Linked DNA regions of Arabidopsis thaliana. The protein of the gene in region 1 interacts with the protein of each later gene in a pairwise test. Each region holds a gene or a part of one and is shown in the gene's direction. Other genes may lie near its edges.

What was found. Proteins that work in one complex are often made in the same cells at the same time.
Region 2: the proteins of SNL1 (region 1) and ALY3 interact in a two-hybrid assay, tested with the Arabidopsis thaliana proteins (one study listed by BioGRID).
Region 3: the proteins of SNL1 (region 1) and HSI2 interact in a two-hybrid assay, tested with the Arabidopsis thaliana proteins (one study listed by BioGRID).

What each region holds. Positions count from the first base shown.
Region 1 is NC_003074.8:104,393-112,328, forward strand, and holds the start of SNL1 (SIN3-like 1), read left to right. Parts: upstream 1-1,901; 5' UTR 1,902-1,903; coding exon of another isoform or gene 1,904-2,044; 5' UTR 2,045-2,337; coding exon 2,338-2,414; intron 2,415-2,567; coding exon 2,568-2,759; intron 2,760-2,846; coding exon 2,847-3,030; intron 3,031-3,120; coding exon 3,121-3,219; intron 3,220-3,288; coding exon 3,289-3,456; intron 3,457-3,545; coding exon 3,546-3,822; intron 3,823-4,011; coding exon 4,012-4,148; intron 4,149-4,227; coding exon 4,228-4,306; intron 4,307-4,388; coding exon 4,389-4,424; intron 4,425-4,521; coding exon 4,522-4,715; intron 4,716-4,789; coding exon 4,790-4,944; intron 4,945-5,017; coding exon 5,018-5,145; intron 5,146-5,266; coding exon 5,267-5,521; intron 5,522-5,666; coding exon 5,667-6,359; intron 6,360-6,439; coding exon 6,440-6,528; intron 6,529-6,757; coding exon 6,758-7,336; intron 7,337-7,401; coding exon 7,402-7,502; intron 7,503-7,593; coding exon 7,594-7,732; intron 7,733-7,825; and 1 more. Other genes in the region: AT3G01319 (uncharacterized protein), read right to left, coding at 1,904-2,044. UniProt on the Arabidopsis thaliana protein: Acts as a transcriptional repressor. A histone deacetylase (HDAC) activity is required for transcription repression. May play a role in telomere stability.
Region 2 is NC_003074.8:7,550,561-7,555,585, reverse strand, and holds the start of ALY3 (DNA binding protein), read left to right. Parts: upstream 1-2,006; 5' UTR 2,007-2,153; intron 2,154-2,723; 5' UTR 2,724-2,744; coding exon 2,745-2,849; intron 2,850-3,211; coding exon 3,212-3,310; intron 3,311-3,511; coding exon 3,512-3,574; intron 3,575-3,655; coding exon 3,656-3,733; intron 3,734-4,167; coding exon 4,168-4,348; intron 4,349-4,756; coding exon 4,757-5,016; intron 5,017-5,025. Other genes in the region: AT3G21450 (Protein kinase superfamily protein), read left to right, coding at 350-523, 580-694, 783-839, 920-1,073, 1,160-1,271, 1,421-1,621.
Region 3 is NC_003071.7:12,979,909-12,986,960, reverse strand, and holds HSI2 (B3 domain-containing transcription repressor VAL1), read left to right. Parts: upstream 1-1,683; 5' UTR 1,684-2,236; coding exon 2,237-2,364; intron 2,365-2,623; coding exon 2,624-2,705; intron 2,706-2,802; coding exon 2,803-2,904; intron 2,905-2,991; coding exon 2,992-3,536; intron 3,537-3,625; coding exon 3,626-3,722; intron 3,723-3,808; coding exon 3,809-3,983; intron 3,984-4,104; coding exon 4,105-4,181; intron 4,182-4,275; coding exon 4,276-4,635; intron 4,636-4,729; coding exon 4,730-4,779; intron 4,780-4,896; coding exon 4,897-5,010; intron 5,011-5,130; coding exon 5,131-5,195; intron 5,196-5,479; coding exon 5,480-6,057; 3' UTR 6,058-6,533; downstream 6,534-7,052. UniProt on the Arabidopsis thaliana protein: Transcriptional repressor of gene expression involved in embryonic pathways, such as LEC1, ABI3, and FUS3. Repressor of the sugar-inducible genes involved in the seed maturation program in seedlings.

The sequences.
Region 1 (7,936 bases):
GGTTTGTTGACCTGAGTCTTGTTTTTTAATTCGCTTGATTTGAGTCTTTTATCGTTAATGGTTTGTTATATGTTTGATCCATGTCAAAAGTTTGTTGAACCGTGGGATTAGGATTGTTCAGATTATAAGACCAGATTTCTAAATAGTATGACAACTCCGAAGACCAGATTCTGAACCTCTTCCATTAATTGAACTATTTGGTTAAATAAATCAAACTGTTCTATTTGTTTCTATGATTCCATCTCTGTAAACGGTCAATGTATATGTGTGAGTCTTTTATAATTCGAATCTTCTGCTCAGATATATGAATTTATTCTCATAGATTACAAGAATCTCTGAAGTCTGACATGTGAATTTCTCATAAAATCATCACCGCAGAAGAAGAAATTATCCAAAACGAAATTTGAAGGAAAATACTAAAAAATCGAAAGAAAAGAAGAGAGATCAGAGTTTGGTTAAGAATTTTTTCGGTCACGGTTAATCTGAAACACGGACCAATTTGTTGATCATCATATCTCTCGTTTCAAACAAAACAATCAAAACAGAAGAAAATCAAATCGAAAAAGATCTAGTTGAAAACGATTAAGATCATCAGAGACTTAAATACTAATAATCACAAAGATTACTCCATCATATTGTTGCAGTATTACCTCATCACCTGATCTCAATTTTGCATTATCTATACGGACCAATACATCATAACTCGAAAACCAAAGATCTAAAGAAAACTAAACTGAAGATAAAATACGAACTTGAACAGAGAACCCTAAACTGACTTGATAAGAGCTTGATGTCTGTCAAAGTCATGTGTGGTTTGTATATAAAGGTCCCCAATGGCGGCGATTCTTAGGTTTCTCGAGGAAAACCCTAACGCTTATGGGTCGTATATGAGCTTCATAAGGCCCATTATAATAAACCTCTTTTGACCCATAAAAACCCCAAACCAATACTCAATTAGCTTATATGGATGGGCTTGACTGAAAATTTACAACTTCTCATTTTTGGTTTGATTCAAGAAAAAACAAAATATTAATTTTAAAAAAAAATATGTACTTGGAACAAAATAATTTGTAAGAAAATCTACATCTATTTAAGGCTTGAAGTCATTGGATCCTATTTTAATGGAAGACAAGATCAAAATTTATATCCTTTTTTTGGGGAGTAGATATAAACTTTTAAGCTTAATTTAGCATGTTTTGTAGTAAATCCAAAACTGGATAAAATCTAATTTCAAACTCAACTAATTCTGTTCATTTTATCTTTAAACAAGTTCAAACACTTGAAACAATAGCTTCATACATACGCAAAAGAAACAAACACACAACAAAATTGATAGAATAAAATAAGTTTGGTATTAAAGAAGATATAATCGTAACAAGATTCAAAACTTAAGTAATGACATCGCTACAAAGATCAGCTGTTTCGTTCCGACGTCAAGGTTCTTCGGGTCGTATTTGGAGTGATCAATTCATCTTAGATCAAAAAAATGGAGCAATTCTTCAAAATCATCTAGAACAAACCGGAAGAAATAGTAATGATCTTGAAGATAAAAATCCATCACAGAAATCAAGTTCTTCGTCATCTTCTTCATCACCACCTCCATACTTTTCTGAAATACGTAGAGGACCAGACATCTCATCTTCTACACGAAACAAACTCGCTTGTGGTTTATCATCACTTTTCCGACAATGTATCGGTTCTTCGGCTCGTGCTTAATTTTGTTCAATGCTTGACGCAAATCTGTACATATATTTTCTTGTTATATGAAAAATTCATCACAATTTTTTCCGACCAAACAGAGTTCTTGATAAATGGGCCTATTATTTTAAAAAGCCCAATAGATATTTGAGTGTCCGGCCCAAATTGAAGTAGAATAAAAGATAAGTTACCAATTTACCAGTAGTTAGCAGCAAACACACAGAGAAAGTGAAACATCGAAGAGACCCCAGAATGCAAAATCTCTCTCCGCCTTTTTCTCCTTCCTTATTCGAAAATTCTCAGCGTCTTTGTTGCAAACTCCTCTGAAATTCTCCGTCTTCTTCATTCGTTTTCGACTCTGCGTTCTACTACTTCTCGTCTCCTATCAGTATCATCGCAATTCATATTCAGTCTAGTGTGTTAAACCGGAGAATTTGGAGTCTCGCCGGAATTTTCCTCTGTCTATGTATGATTGCCGGTGATCAAAGCGCTTCTTAACGATTCTGTTCTCCTTTGAGAGATCTGAGTATCTGATTTCATCTACTACATATGTTTTCTCGAGAGTGATAGAAAGTAGGTCTCATACATATTTTTCCTCTGGAGGGAATTTTGATCCTCTGCTTCGTTAATTAACTTGTGATGAAGCGGATAAGAGATGATGTATATGCCTCTGGGTCTCAATTTAGACGTCCTCTTGGTTCTTCTCGAGGCCAATTGTGAGTTTCTCTAAATTCACCCTTCAAATTTCGGTTTTGATCTTGGTTCTGTTTTGTGGCGATTAGGTTTTCTATAATTCTGCATGGAGAGTGACAAATATTTGTTATGAATTGAGTAGTTTTAAGTAATCGATTAGAGATGATTTGGTGCAGATGTGGACAATCTCCGGTCCACGGCAGTGGTGACACCGAAGAAGAAGAAGAAGGAGGGAGCCGGAGAGTCTCTCAGAAATTGACAACCAATGATGCGTTGTCGTACCTGAGGGAAGTAAAAGAGATGTTTCAAGATCAACGCGAGAAATATGACAGGTTCCTCGAGGTTATGAAAGATTTTAAGGCTCAAAGGTTAGCTCTTTCACTCTCTATCGACTTCAAAGTTCAAGTAAGTTTTAGTAGGCGGCATTGTATTAATTCTTCGTCTTGCATTTTCAGAACCGACACAGGCGGTGTGATCGCAAGAGTTAAGGAATTGTTTAAGGGACATAATAATTTGATTTATGGATTCAACACCTTTTTGCCTAAGGGATATGAAATTACGCTTATTGAGGAAGACGACGCTCTGCCAAAGAAGACTGTTGAATTCGAACAAGCCATCAATTTTGTGAATAAAATTAAGGTGCTGTCGAAATCTTGGTCTTATATTTCTCTTTTGAAGTGCGCTTACATCTTGTGTCTCAATGTACAAGTTTCTTTTTTCTCACTGCAGATGCGATTCAAGCACGATGAACATGTCTATAAATCTTTCTTGGAAATCTTGAATATGTACCGAAAGGAGAACAAGGAAATTAAAGAGGTGTACAACGAGGTAATATACTTCATCTCACCTGTAATGCCACTCCAAACTTTTTCTAACCTTCGAATATCTATGCTCCAGGTATCTATTCTTTTTCAAGGCCACTTGGATTTGCTTGAACAGTTTACTAGGTTTTTGCCAGCGTCTTTGCCATCTCATTCAGCAGCGCAGCATAGCCGGAGTCAGGCTCAACAGTACAGCGACCGAGGATCAGACCCTCCTCTACTTCATCAAATGCAAGTGGAAAAGGTTCGTTTGATCTTTGTTTCATATTTTTCCTTGTTCTATTTTTTGCCACGTATCTCAATTTTGTTCCCGCTACAACTTTTTATCACCAGGAACGCCGACGAGAAAGGGCTGTTGCTCTCCGCGGTGATTATAGTGTTGAACGTTATGACCTTAATGATGATAAAACGATGGTGAAGATTCAAAGAGAGCAGCGGAAGCGCCTTGATAAGGAGAACAGGGCAAGGAGAGGCCGTGATTTGGACGATAGAGAAGCAGGTCAAGATAACCTACACCATTTTCCAGAGAAAAGAAAGTCGTCCAGAAGAGCTGAAGCTCTTGAAGCATATTCTGGTTCTGCTTCACATTCTGAGAAAGACAATTTGAAAAGTAAGCTAACTCCTGTGTCAAACATTTTTTTATTTGCTTGGTACCTTTTCTATTTTTTAAGAGTCCCAAACATTGGACACCTTAATTCTTTCTCTTTGAGAGAGAATTTATTTTCCAATTTTGGTTGCATGGTGATCTTTAAGGTGCGAAGATCTGCTTCTGTTTTCTAAGATGTTTACTTTGTGTTAGGTATGTACAAACAAGCATTCGTTTTCTGTGAGAAAGTCAAGGATAGACTATGCAGCCAAGATGATTATCAGACATTCTTGAAGTGCCTCAATATTTTTAGCAATGGAATAATCCAAAGGAAGGATCTGCAAAACTTGGTATTGCAATTTGTGATCAGGGGTTGATCTTGTGGTAACGTTCAGGAAGTTGTATTAAATCCCATTCATTTTCTTTCAGGTTTCTGATCTTCTTGGGAAATTTCCTGATCTGATGGATGAGTTCAACCAGTTCTTCGAGCGGTGTGAGAGTATTACTGGTACTGAAATACGTATTGTTATTTTAATAGTTATTACATATCAGCAATCTTCTTCTTTCTGACGGTCATCCTCTTTTTGTAGATGGATTTCAGCGTCTTGCTGGTGTTATGAGCAAAAGTATGCTGCTATTTTAAACTTCCCAGCTGTGAATAATATTGTCTCTTTCCCTCCTACTTTGTAAAATCTTTACTGACATTGCTGGTACACTTGGCAGAATTATTTAGCAGCGAAGAACAGTTATCCAGGCCAATGAAGGTGGAAGAGAAAGAAAGTGAACACAAGCCTGAACTCGAGGCTGTGAAGGAAACTGAGCAATGCAAGAAGGAGTACATGGGAAAATCTATTCAAGAGCTCGATCTCTCTGATTGCGAGTGTTGCACTCCTAGCTACCGGCTTCTGCCTGCGGATGTAAGCTTCTATTTCCAAGTTGCATTTTGAGCATGTTCATTGGATTTTTACTTACTGTAATATTATATTTGCAGTATCCGATACCAATTGCGAGTCAGAGATCGGAGCTAGGAGCTGAGGTTTTAAATGATCATTGGGTATCTGTCACTTCCGGAAGTGAAGATTATTCTTTTAAGCACATGCGCAGAAACCAATATGAAGAGAGCTTGTTCAGATGCGAAGATGATAGGTATTTATATTGACAACATACATATTATAGTTTGAAGTAATTGGTCATTTATGTTAATTACTGCTTATAACAGATTTGAGTTGGACATGTTGCTGGAATCTGTGAGCTCTGCGGCCAGAAGTGCAGAAAGTTTGTTGAACATCATCACAGAGAAGAAAATAAGTTTTTCTGGCTCCTTCAGGATCGAAGACCATTTTACGGGTCTGTATGCTTTTTTGGGACCATTTTACAGTTCGTAGTTATATCTTCTCTCTTCCCCTATTTAGGTGTCCTCATATGTTTGGTTATTAACTTTACCATTTTCTTATTGACATATTTACAGCCCTAAATTTAAGGTGTATTGAGCGACTTTATGGCGACCATGGTCTTGACGTGATAGACATATTAAATAAGAATCCAGCCACTGCACTTCCTGTAATCCTAACTCGTTTAAAGCAGAAACAAGGTGAATGGAAGAAATGCCGTGACGATTTTGATAAGGTCTGGGCGAACGTATATGCAAAAAACCATTACAAGTCACTTGATCACCGCAGCTTCTACTTCAAGCAACAAGATTCAAAGAACTTGAGTGCAAAATGTAAGTAGACTTATAGAAGTCGTAAGAAGATTTATATTCAAGTAGTTCCTTTATCCTGTTTTATCGCTCACATACATCCGGCAGTGCTATTTTTCCTTTCACTTATTCCTTTCTCATTCTGTTTTTTTATTGCTTCGTGAACCAGCATTGTTGGCTGAAATTAAGGAGCTGAAAGAGAAGTCTCAGAATGATGATGATGTTCTGTTGTCTATTTCTGCTGGTTACAGACAACCTATAAATCCTAATCTTGAATATGAGTATTTGAACAGAGCTATTCATGAAGACATGTTCAAAGTAGTCCAGTTTTCATGTGAGGAGTTATGTTCTACAAAAGAACAGCTCAGTAAAGTTCTGAGGCTTTGGGAAAATTTCCTGGAGGCAGTGCTGGGTGTTCCTCCCAGGGCCAAGGGCACAGATCTTGTTGAAGATGTTGTAATAAACCCCAAGACTCTCGATGTGAATCACAGCACATCTCCTAACGGGGAGGCTGCTGTGAGTTCTGGAGGAGACACAGCAAGGTTGGCTTCTAGGAAACTTAAATCTGCTGCCAATGGAGATGAGAATTCTTCATCTGGGACATTCAAACATGGGATAGGTTTGTTAAATAAAGATTCGACAGGGAAAGAAAATCTTGAAGATGTTGAAATAGCTAACAGAGATGGTGTTGCCTGCTCTGCTGTGAAACCTCAGAAAGAACAAGAAACTGGAAATGAAGCCGAGAAAAGGTTTGGAAAACCTATCCCAATGGATATTAGCGAAAGAGCAGCCATCTCGAGTATATCAATCCCAAGTGGGGCAGAAAACAATCATTGTGTAGTAGGCAAGGAAGTTTTGCCAGGTGCCTTCCAGATTTAAGCTATTTAATTTTATTTGTGCTGCTTGATTATTTGTGTTGATATTTGTTACTTTACAATTAAGGTGCACATGAGATTCAAGCCAAACCAAGCGACACCCTCACTGATATTCATCATGATGTAGATAGCATTGAAACTGTTCATTCGACTCAGGTACTAGTACTACAATCAATTGCTCGTTGTACCATATTTACACCATTCAGTTGCTCGTTGTACCATATTTATATATTCGCCTAAACCCACTATTACCTGGAGGTTTCCATAGCTTAGGGATGTAAAAATTTACAGTACTACCTATGGGACCCAGGGGTGTAAAAATTTAAAATGTGTCTTATATTATAATTATGCTTTCCGGACCCTTCTGACTCTGTCATATTACTAGGGAGGTGATGTTGGCAATTCGATAGTTTTGGCAAATGGATTAAGGTCAGATTCTTCTAAAGGTACTAGGAATTCTGATGATCCCGAAGGTCCCTCCAGAAATGAGAAAGAGGAAGGTGAACTGTCACCTAATGGTGATTTTGAAGACAACTTTGGTGTTTACAAAGATCATGGGGTGAAGTCCACATCCAAACCAGAGAATTCAGCAGAGGCTGAAGTAGAGGCAGATGCTGAAGTAGAGAATGAGGACGATGCTGACGATGTTGATAGTGAAAATGCTTCCGAGGCATCTGGAACTGAATCTGGTGGCGACGTATGTTCTCAGGACGAAGATAGAGAGGAGGAGAATGGTGAGCATGATGAGATCGATGGTAAAGCTGAGAGTGAAGGAGAAGCGGAGGGAATGGATCCACATCTCTTAGAAGGAGAAAGTGAGCTGCTTCCACAGTCAGAACGTGTTCTCTTATCCGTCAGACCCCTTTCAAAGCATGTCGCAGCAGTTTTATGCGATGAGAGAACAAAAGATCTCCAAGTTTTCTATGGGAATGACGACTTTTATGTTCTTTTTAGGCTTCACCAAGTGAGTTACCTAATTATTTATTGAAATTGATTCTCTCTAGCAAAGATAACGTGGTGCATTTTCAGATCCTGTACGAGAGAATTTTGTATGCAAAAAGGAATTGCTCAGGCGGTGAACTGAAATCGAAAAACTTAAAGGATACCAATGCCGGAGATCCTTATGCGAGGTACCTTCCTTTGTACAACTTTTTATACTAGCCTATGTAGATAATCATATACATGTTGTTCCCATCAAAATCTGATCTGTGTGTTGTACAGGTTTATGAGGGTTTTGTATGGTTTGCTAGATGGATCAGCTGAAAATACCAAGTTTGAGGATGAGTGCAGAGCTATAATTGGAAACCAATCATATGTGTTATTCACGTTGGACAAACTGATTTACAGATTGGTTAAGCAGGTGTTACTCACACTAGTGGTTTAGGACAATTTTTTTTATGTTATCGACATTATGTTACCTTCCTTGTGATGTTCTAATATTATCCATCTGCAGCTTCAAGCTATTGTAGCCGATGAAATGGACAACAAGCTGCTTCAGTTGTATGAGTATGAGAAATCCCGGAAACCAGGAAGGGTTATCGACTCAGTGTATTATGAAAATGTT
Region 2 (5,025 bases), 7.4 Mb from region 1:
TTTACATTGCTGCACCAATTGCGATCATAGCGATTCTAATCGCTCTTTTCTGGATTTCCATATTACTGTGTGGCAAAAACTCCCTCAAGAGTTCAACCGGTAAGTCTAATCTTGACATTATAACCACACTTAGTGTTTTTAATACATTTGATGTAATAAAAAGACAAAGAAAAGTTTTTTACAAGTCTTTTAAATGTGTCTTTTCTATATACAAATATTAAGTTTTATTGGGTTTATTATTTAATTTAAACATATTAGTTAATGTGCTGATCATGAAAGTAATTACATCTTTTGATGCTCTTGTAATTCACGTCTACAAGTGACGCCACAACGCCTGATCGAGTACTCGATGGAGGAATTAAGGCAAGCAACGAACAATTTTGACATGGATAATACTATTGGGCATGGAAGTCACGGAACAGTTTACACTGGGCTGATCAAGGACATGCCCGTTGTGATCAAAAGGGAGTGGTGTAGTCCCCAACCTAGATTCTTGGATGAGGTACACACAAACAAAAAATTGGTGATTTCATTGAAAATAATTTATGTATTTGTGACATATTGTTGTATGTGTCTCAGGTTTCTTACATCCAACATAAAAATTTGGTTAATCTGCTCGGTTATTGTTGCGACGACGAGAACCAATCGCTCGTCTTTGAGTATATGGTCAACGGTAGCGTCCGAGATTATCTAGGTGGTAAGTAATGCATTATAGTAAACTCTTGAAATTTGATCCATACATCATTTTTATGTGATCATCTCTCTTTTTGGTTATTGAGTAGAGTCTAGCGACTTAACGTTCAAGAAAAGAATATCTATAGCTCTTGATGCAGCCAAAGGTAAATCAAAATGGATGATCCAAAACTCACATTGATTGTTCTAAAAACTAATATTAAAGTCTCTCTGTTTTTCAATTCAGGGTTACTACACTTGCACAACTTAGATCCTCCAGTACAACACAAGAGATTTACGGCGAGTAAAGTTTTGCTCGATGCCAACCTCAATGCCAAGGTATCAGATGGGGCAATGTTGGGACTGCTTCAAGCAAGTGATATTCATCTCGCTAATCCAAGGTATTAATTAATTCACTTATGATCATATAAGTTACATCATTCCTTCAAAGTCCTAACAAATATGTTCTTATGAATATTTTCTATAGAGGTGGTTCAGAGGAGACAATTGATGTGTATAGCTTCGGGTTGTTCCTTCTAGAGCTTATCACCTGTCAAAACCCTGGACTGTTACAATCAGACTATGAAGTTTTACAATGGGTACGTAATAGAAAAAAAAACCCTCTCTTTCTCCATTTACAACTTTTTTTTGTTTGTTAATTGTATGTACTTAAAAATATATTGTTTGGAAATTTATTTGTGATTTGTAGATAAGTCCGAGACTTTTTACAAACACATTTTGGGATAAGAATATACCTGCAGAAACATTCACGAGACCATCGTTCCAAGCTTATCTGATAATTACGTCGGAATGCTTGGAATATCCCCCGATAAATCGCCCAAAGATGGATGTGGTCGTGACCGAGCTTGAGACGATTTACCTTAATGTCATCAGTGAGAACCATGAGGTTTCTCTAGGAAGTGAGCTTTTTAACATAACCATTGAGTAAGCGAAAGACATGGTGTTGTTGCTTCAGTCTATTTCGAAAACCCCTATAAAGGACTATAATAAAATTCAACTTGACTATTACAAACCAGAATTAAACCGCATTGGATTCGAACTGTGTGGTTTAAATTTGGTTTAACCAATCCAAATCCAATTTATAAAGGCGAACCGAACCGAATTGGATTTAATTTGTAGGTTTGTTTTAAAAAAATGATTGAATCTTCGCAAATTATTTATATAGAGAGACTCTCTGCAACAAAAGTTGTATAACGAAAAATTACATTTTATCGGATTCTTCTAATATTTATTTTTCTTTTTATTTTAAAGTTTTCGCGGTTATATCCCCAAAAATTGTTTCAATCTCTTGTTTTTGCTGCTTCTTCATCTTCCTCAATCTCTCTTTCGATCGCTCAAAAAACCCGAAGAAGCTCTGATCTGTTCATATTCCGATCTCTTACCGGATTTCTCTAATTTCTCTCTGTAATTTCTTCTTCAAGTCCCGGCGATGGCTTCCGAGTGATTTTGGATTTGTGTAGGTAAGCTCTTTCAATCTTCTCTTTTTTTTTTTTTTTTTAATTCTGATTTGTTCTCATCGAATTTTCAAATAATTTGAGCTTTTTTAATCGTTCGTCCTGCAATTTTCGTTTTTTATTCGGTAGGAAAGTTTTTTGGATTAGGTGCGAAGTTTGTGAGTTTAAAATTTGGTTCTGGGGAATCTGCGCACTGATTATTGAGCTTTGGATTTTGAAATTCGAAGCTCAAAATCGATGGGTGTCAGGTCTTGTGATTTGAATTCGCATAAATTTCACTAGCTGGAGTTGCTTAAGGAGATTGATTTTCTAATTTGGACAAGTTGTTTCTTAAACTTCTCTGGGTTTCATATTCTATTGAGCGAAAGTAGGGTTGATACTGATAATGAGCACACTTTTTTGGTATGAGGTGGGTTTTGCATGTAGACTTTAGTTTCATTAGTACTGGTAGTCAGTTTCTTTGGAGATGATTAACTGATAAATAGATGTATCTATCAAGGATTGAGCTTATGATTTATTGTGTTTGTTGTATCTTGGTAAAATCTAAACTTGGGTTCAATTTTGGGAATGTTTCAGGTAACAGAAGAGCTTTAACTTATGGCGCCCTCAAGATCAAAGAAATCTAAGTACAAGAAGAAGCCTCGTGCTAAAGCTGTTTCTCCTCACAAAGACGAAGAAAGTATGAGCAAAACTAAACAACGGGTAAGCTTTTTTCCTAATGTTTTACTGGATGACCTCAACTTTAGGTAGGGTTATGTATTGCTCAGCCTGAGATTTGATTGGGAAATTTAGCATAGTTTCGCTGTAGAAGGATATACCTAGTTATTTGCTAGACTTTTTGTTTCTTGATTGATCCAAGTAATAACCTTTCTTTGTTCTTGTTTCAACATTTACTCAAATATTTTCTACGTTTAAGTTGTTGTTTTTGTTTCAATTCCTATTTCAAGGAGGAGACATTGTTTTACCCTTGTCTCCAATGTGCGAGCAAATTTGTTTGTTGTTATTCTGCGACCAATTTTATCAGCTGGTCTCCAAGCATATCTTATAGTGCTCCTTACTTGCAGAAGAGGAAGTTGTCGGACATGTTAGGTCCTCAGTGGAGCAAGGAAGAGTTAGAGCGCTTTTATGAAGGATACCGCAAATTCGGAAAAGAATGGAAAAAGGTTAGTTCAATTAGCAAAATAGACATTATTTACGATTTGGTATATGATTTGTAGTAAAACATTACATTATTCCAAAAGAAGGGTAATAAATTGCTGCCATAGTTTCCGCCAAATGTTATGGGTATGGGAATGTCATTTTTATAATCACTTTGGTTTGCAGAACCAGCAATATTTATGGTGTTTTTTCATCTATGGTTGTAGGTTGCTGGATTTGTACATAGCCGTTCTGCAGAAATGGTAGAGGCCTTATACACTATGAATAAGGTCAGCATGTTCTCCTCCTTGATTTGTATTGTGATCTTTGTCTAAACATTTTCCACTTATATTATGCCATCTGTACTTTAGGCTTACTTGTCTCTTCCGGAAGGCACTGCATCTGTGGTTGGCCTAACTGCAATGATGACGGATCACTACTCTGTTCTGGTAAAAGTTTGAAACCGTTCAAATATGTTATAACTAACACGCACTTGGTCCAGTTCAGCATACTTACTTCCATTTGAAACTCAAAACAATTGTACATGTCTTCCACCCGTTTCTATGGAACATCTGCCAACTTAAGTTTGTTCCACCTAGGGGTTTAGCACTCTTGTTTGTTCAGATTTTTTCACTTGAAAATATAGTTTAGCTCAGGAAAGATAAATTCTAACATTCGTTTGGTTTAGTGTTTCTTTGTTAAGCATTATGCATATCTTAGAAACATGGCCAGCTAACTTTGTGATTTTTTGCGGACGTTAGTGACGTTGATTGTTGTTGAGCCTTGTTAGTTAAGTATTTCCATTTCTGTTGCGAAGGAATATAATTTGGTAGTATGGGGTTTGGTTTCATATTATTATGTAACGAGTCTATCTCTTCTCTAGCATGGAGGAAGTGACAGTGAGCAGGAAAATAATGAAGGCATTGAAACTCCGAGGTCAGCCCCTAAGCGCTCTAGAGTAAAATCCTCAGATCATCCCTCTATAGGACTAGAGGGTCTGTCTGACCGCTTACAATTTAGGTCCTCCTCAGGCTTCATGCCATCGCTGAAGAAGAGACGTACTGGTAGTGTTCTCTGTTTCTCTTTGCCTCAAAATCTGTTCCCCATTTCACAAGCATGAGTTGCGTGAGCACATACAGTTATATATATGCATGAGTCTTTGCTTCGTGCAAATTTTGTTTTTCTCAACTATTGCAGTCTTGCTGGTGTTGCATGTTGTTGATGCCTTGCAGAATCAGCTTAGATAGAACTGCTCTTTCCTTTATTTTACTAGCACCTATCTTGTACACTAAATTTATTGAAAACAGTATCTTGAGATGATGCAACTCAAGTTAGTACCCTCCCTAAATGTATATAGTGGGATAAAAATGATCTTCCCTCCCGGAATTTTATTGGATCATTAACTATCTGTCTAATGGAAACGATCTAATAGTTGCTAACTTTTCTATTAATCGTAATTTGCATGTGCCAAGAGACTATGCCTCGTGCTGTTGGAAAAAGGACTCCTAGAATTCCTATCTCATACACCCTTGAGAAGGATACTAGGGAAAGATATTTATCACCTGTTAAGAGAGGTTTAAATCAGAAGGGGGATGATACTGATGATGATATGGAACATGAGATAGCATTAGCATTGGCTGAGGCTTCACAACGAGGTGGCTCTACAAAGAACTCCCACACACCAAATAGAAAAGCAAAGATGTACCCCCCTGATAAAAAGGGTGAAAGAATGGTAATCTCC
Region 3 (7,052 bases), on another chromosome or scaffold:
TGGAAACACAATAGGTGAAAAAAGAAGAAGTTCATTACGTGCTTTGAATTTTATAGTTGAATTTCTATTTCAGTTTTATAATCCAGTTGTACTTGTATGATGCGAATCTAATCTAGTGGTTCGGACTATCCAAGTCAGTTTCATGAATTAAATTATGGGGGAAAAATAAAACTATTTATTACAAGGATAAGGGCAAAGTGGCCCTAAGTTGATTATATATCTCTTTTGCATGGTAAAAGATTATTTCCACATATGAAAATATGCAAAAATCCAAAAAAGGATTATGTCTATATATTTTGCTGTCAACAAGAAAATTCCATAAGTGTATAATGAAATTTAGGATAATACATAGAATACCACTCTTTTTACCAGACGGCGACATTTTACACTGAGTTAAAACTTATAAGTTTTTTACTCGTTCCAACAGTAGTCAATTACTCGATAGGTGTTACAAGCCTAGCTATATATAAGGTCAAAAAAGGGAGTGAAAAAACGTAGTAACTTAATAGTAGCTCGTTGATAATATAGAAGATTCCACCCAAAAGAGAGCGATTCCAAAAGATATGGTGTCATTTTAGTTAGATTTAAATTTGAACTAATTAGATAGAAAAGATTAAAGATTTAATGGGAAATACGAAGTGAATAGAGCATGCATGAGTAAAAGTTAGAACAAATAGATGATATATTCTTGGGTAGTAACGTGTTATTTGACAGAAAATCACATGCATATATAAAATCGTGTGAACACTTATACTGTATGTTTATCATGCGCATGGACTATTGGACTCCATAAATAGCAAGGTTATGGTTAAATGTAGTAAAATGGCAAAAAAAAAAACATAATATATTATATATATATATATATATTCAATTAACTACAAATCCTTCAAAAGTATTAACAAAAAATAAACAAATCCTACAAAATATATTGTGTTGATTTTTTGCATATTTCTTTTTGTCGATGGTATTTTCTTCAGTGTAGGAAAAAAAAATTCAATTTAAGCAAGAATGAATTTTTAGTTTATATTCCACCAATTCTTCCCATTTCGTTTGCAAGTTCTCTATAAATTTGGTATCTTATTTTGGAATATATATTCTACCATAAGACTACATGTTTGATATGAATCGTCAATTTTTACTTATCTATCGGTCTCAATCCACTCTAAGTTTTAGGGTATTCGGAACTCAAATTTGGTTAGAATACATATACAGAGAATGACGACAGGTAGAGTATATAGCATATACATGTACGCGATCGCAAATTTCTATTATAATCTTTAATTAGATAAGTAGAATTTATGTACTATTATTTTCTTTTCTTAGGATAATTTTTATAACTTTTACAAACTTAAATTAAAATGATTTCTTAGAGTAATTGACAATAACAAACCAAGAAAGTCAAAAGAGAAAAAGAAGAACCTCAAAGTCTTTTGTGCATGTGTGTGTTAGTGTCATGCATGCACTCTATATATTTATGATTTGCAAAAAGAAACATATATGTTTCTATTGAATAATTCTTTCTTTTCTTGATGAAATAATCAATATTTCCTTATATAAATAATACCCCAACTGTAGAAAGGAAAATACCTATAAATTAGTTGAATACATATAACCAAATATTAAAATTACGTCACCATACTATTTTTTTTCCAAAATATATGATTCCTACCAACCCTAAATTTCATTTCTATATATATTATATACCAAAAAAACATATCTTAACAAAGTCAAAAAAAAACCAAAGTCTTTCACTTTGTGTCTGTTCTAAATCTCTGCGAGTTTTCTTACTTTTCGAGTTTTGTGTGTGTCTTCAAGTGTCGTGCATGCATTTTATGCGTTTCGTTCACTTGCATGCTCTCTCCCTCTTTCTCTCTCTATCTCACCCATAAAAGTTTTAATTTTTCACATCGATAAATTAAATTGAAACAAAAAAAAAAATTCACCCAAAAAAAAAAAACCTCGTTGCCTTCTTCTTCGCCGTTACAGTCCTCTTTCTTTCTTCAATTCGCCGTCAAAATCTTCTCTTTCTCTTCCCCCGCCGGTCCTTCACCAATCCTCTGATCTCTCTACACACGAACCTTTGATTTTGACCAACGTCGATGCATGTTCATGACTAGTCTCTTCCTCAATCCTTCAATTTCATCAATTCACGTCGATTTCGTATCCGATTCGTTGTTCTAGCTCTTTGTGTGGTGTTAGGGTTTTAAGATTTTGGAATTGGGGTTTGGAGTTTGTGATGTTTGAAGTCAAAATGGGGTCAAAGATGTGCATGAACGCTTCATGTGGTACGACTTCTACTGTTGAATGGAAGAAAGGTTGGCCTCTTCGATCTGGTCTTCTCGCTGATCTCTGTTATCGTTGCGGGTATTTCTCAATCTCTCTAATTTCCTATTCTAAACTCCAAATTTCGTTTGATTTTTGACTAAAGTCTCGATCTTTTCGTGACCCTCTTCTTGATTCTCTGTTTAGCTCTTAGTTTGTTCATGTTCTGTTTTTTTGACTACGTATATGGTTTCTTAGTGCGAATCTTGACTCTTTTAATCTATAAATAGGGAAAAAATATGTGACTTTGGTACATAAAAGGAAAAAAATTGAGACTTTGGTTGTAATGATTTTGTTATAGATCTGCGTATGAGAGTTCTCTATTCTGTGAACAATTTCATAAGGACCAATCTGGTTGGAGGGAATGCTATTTGTGTAGCAAGGTGCGTTTTTTGAAACTGTGTGAATATGTTTGTTTTTTCTATATATAGAGTTTAGTGGTGATGTTTTGTTGTTCTGATTGAGATTCTGTGATGACAGAGACTACATTGTGGATGCATTGCTTCTAAGGTAACGATTGAGTTAATGGACTATGGTGGTGTTGGTTGTAGTACATGTGCTTGCTGCCATCAACTCAATTTGGTGAGTTTTTACTAGACTCGGTTCAGCGTATTCGAGTATATTATATGTAAGTTGTTGTTGTAAGGATTCTGTCTTCACGTTTTTCAGAACACAAGGGGTGAGAATCCAGGTGTTTTTAGCAGATTGCCAATGAAAACGTTAGCTGATAGGCAACATGTAAATGGCGAAAGCGGAGGAAGAAACGAAGGCGATCTCTTTTCTCAGCCACTAGTCATGGGCGGAGATAAAAGGGAAGAGTTCATGCCTCACCGTGGGTTTGGTAAGCTAATGAGTCCAGAAAGTACAACCACCGGGCATAGGCTGGATGCTGCTGGGGAAATGCATGAATCATCACCTTTACAGCCATCTTTAAATATGGGTTTGGCTGTGAATCCGTTTAGCCCATCTTTTGCAACCGAGGCTGTCGAGGGAATGAAACACATCAGTCCTTCTCAGTCCAACATGGTCCATTGCTCTGCTTCTAATATACTGCAAAAGCCATCAAGACCTGCTATTTCAACTCCTCCTGTGGCTAGTAAATCCGCTCAGGCGCGGATTGGAAGGCCTCCTGTCGAAGGGCGAGGGAGAGGCCACTTGCTTCCGCGGTATTGGCCAAAATATACGGATAAAGAGGTTCAGCAGATCTCTGGAAAGTATCCTTTATTTGCTTCTAGTACTTTTGCCAAATATTTTATTCTGGACAGACTTCTGGTGACTCATTGTTTATCTTAACAAATTCTAGTTTGAATTTGAACATTGTACCTCTCTTTGAGAAAACTCTTAGTGCCAGTGATGCTGGTCGCATTGGTCGTCTAGTTCTTCCAAAAGCCTGTGCAGAGGTAAATTTCCCATTCCTATGGTGATGTCTTTTCTTGTCCTTGAAATATTTTGTAGAGTTATGACTGATGTCTGCATTGGTATATAGGCATATTTTCCTCCGATTAGTCAATCCGAAGGCATTCCTTTGAAAATCCAAGATGTGAGGGGTAGGGAGTGGACGTTCCAGTTCAGATATTGGCCCAATAACAATAGTAGAATGTATGTTTTAGAAGGTGTCACTCCATGCATACAGTCCATGATGCTACAGGCTGGTGATACAGGTACTTTTAATATAGTTCATGTCTTAGCTAAAGCTTCAAGCATTTGCTGGTTTTAACATCAAATTTTCATGAACCATTTTCTAAAACTATTGTTGGTTTTCTGTGTTTTTCACCTCTACAGTAACTTTCAGTCGGGTTGATCCTGGCGGAAAACTAATCATGGGTTCCAGGAAGGCAGCTAATGCTGGAGACATGCAGGTTGGGGTTTCTATGAACTGGTTTCTGTAGGAATGTGCTGGTTTTTATTTTCTGCTTAGCTCCATTCTTATCCGGTTACAATATTTATAAATAGGGTTGTGGGCTCACCAACGGAACATCAACTGAGGACACATCATCGTCTGGTGTAACAGAAAACCCACCCTCCATAAATGGTTCCTCGTGTATTTCACTAATACCGAAAGAGTTGAATGGTATGCCTGAGAATTTGAACAGTGAGACTAACGGGGGCAGGATAGGTGATGATCCTACACGAGTTAAAGAGAAGAAGAGAACTCGAACCATTGGTGCAAAAAATAAGAGACTTCTTTTGCATAGTGAAGAATCTATGGAGCTGAGACTCACTTGGGAAGAAGCTCAGGACTTGCTTCGTCCCTCTCCTAGTGTAAAGCCTACCATCGTTGTCATTGAGGAGCAAGAAATTGAAGAATATGACGTACGTGGTAGATCATGTTGTTTTTTACAACCATTTGATTAACCCTTAACTTGATCCTTGGTTAAGTCATAGTTCATGTTAATGTTATACACAGGAACCTCCTGTCTTTGGAAAGAGGACTATAGTCACTACAAAACCTTCAGGGTTAGTTATTTCTTTCACTTCTCAAGTAAAAAAATAAAATGAATGGCAACGTATCTTCTCCTATAGTTTACTTCCATACTTGCAAATGATTTACTAACAAATTTCTTTGTGGTCCAGTGAACAGGAACGATGGGCAACTTGCGACGACTGCTCTAAATGGAGAAGGTTACCTGTAGATGCTCTTCTTTCCTTTAAATGGACATGTATAGACAATGTTTGGGATGTGAGTAGGTAAGAACTTTCACAAGTCTTTTCTTTAATCTCATGATCGCTTAAATCGAAGATCATTTAGAGTTTTTTTTTTTCTCCCTAGTGTCCTGTCACTGTAATTAATAATATATTCATTGATAGGTGTTCATGTTCTGCACCGGAGGAGAGTCTGAAGGAACTTGAGAATGTTCTTAAAGTAGGAAGAGGTATGAAATCTTTTATTTCCTGGCCTCTCATGGTTCTTTCTCATTATCTAGACTGCTTCCAAGTAGTTGTGACTTCTGAGCAATTTATGGTTTGGCGTTCATATAAAACATTCAGGATATGTATCTGTTATTTGTGCATGTTGCGCCTTCCTTATGTTAGAATTTTATCAAAATATGGATTGTTTGCTTGGTATCCTGCAAATTTGTTTCTGAACGCAGCTTACTTTTCATAATCTCAGCTTATTGAGAATCTCAAGACACTAACTGTATGCATATATATATAGAGCACAAGAAGAGAAGAACTGGGGAAAGCCAGGCAGCAAAAAGTCAGCAAGAACCGTGTGGTTTGGACGCACTGGCGAGTGCAGCAGTCTTAGGAGACACAATAGGCGAGCCAGAGGTAGCGACCACGACCAGACATCCAAGGCACAGGGCTGGATGCTCTTGCATCGTGTGCATTCAGCCACCAAGTGGGAAAGGTAGGCACAAGCCTACATGTGGCTGCACTGTGTGTAGCACCGTGAAGAGAAGGTTCAAGACGCTTATGATGAGGAGGAAGAAGAAGCAGTTGGAGCGCGATGTAACAGCAGCAGAAGATAAGAAGAAGAAGGACATGGAACTGGCTGAGTCTGATAAGAGTAAGGAGGAGAAGGAAGTGAACACAGCGAGAATAGACCTGAACAGTGATCCATACAATAAAGAAGATGTTGAAGCTGTTGCGGTGGAGAAAGAAGAGAGTCGAAAAAGAGCAATAGGACAGTGTTCGGGCGTGGTGGCTCAAGACGCCAGTGATGTTTTAGGAGTTACAGAGTTAGAAGGAGAGGGTAAGAATGTTCGTGAAGAGCCGAGAGTTTCAAGCTGATATGGAAGGAAAAAGGGAAAGGGTAAAAGCCAAAGTCATAGCCAGTTTTATTAATATGCTGAGACCAAGAGTAGGAGAAGAAGAAGAGAAAGAGAGAGAGAGAGAGAGAGAGAGAAGTACAGTTTTGTGTTTGATTCTGTCATAGTTGTAGGAAAAATAAGTTTCTGGTTCTAAACAGCGACAATGTCCCATCTTTTGTTTTTTGTTTTTGTTTTTGTATTTTTATGGTATCGTGTTGAGTTTGGGGTTTATAGTATGTCTCCATTAATCTAGGTTTTGTTGTAGAAGGCAAATGGAGCTTTGTGCTTGGTGATGAAACAGTTGAGTTGATTTTTTTTTTTGTAATTGTTTTCAACCAAATGCCTAGTTGGTTTAATTTTTTTAAAAGTTGTTTCTTATAATATTGTTAAACACAAATTATGACAGTTGTTGAAAACTGCATGAAGTAGACTTGTAAATGGTATAAGGAGATTAATTAAGAGGTTAAATCATTTTACCAAAAACAATTACGATAAAACCTCTACAAATTAATAATATTAGAAACGAAAAATTCTATATATTCATAAATATATTAATTTATCGATAATTTTAATAATTATTAATTTATAGTGAGGTTTACTAATTTTGTAATTAAAAAAATAATATCTAAAAAACAATTTTTTCTTTACAATCAATATATTTCTAAAACAGTTACAAGTAGAAAAACAATAATAAGTTTAGAATAAAAAAACAACATAAACTTTTTTACATGTAGTAAGCATATTTGAAATGAACTCTACCAGAATTAATATTAACTTAAGAAAAACAAACAATATTAAGTCATACTACACTAAAGTTTTTACATATAATATATATATATATATGATGTCATATATAAAATACTATTATATATTATAAATATTAAGTTGTATATATAGCAATAAGTTTAACAATTGTTAATTTATGATATGATGAGATAATATGTTTACATAGAATTTTCAAAAATGACTTCTTAA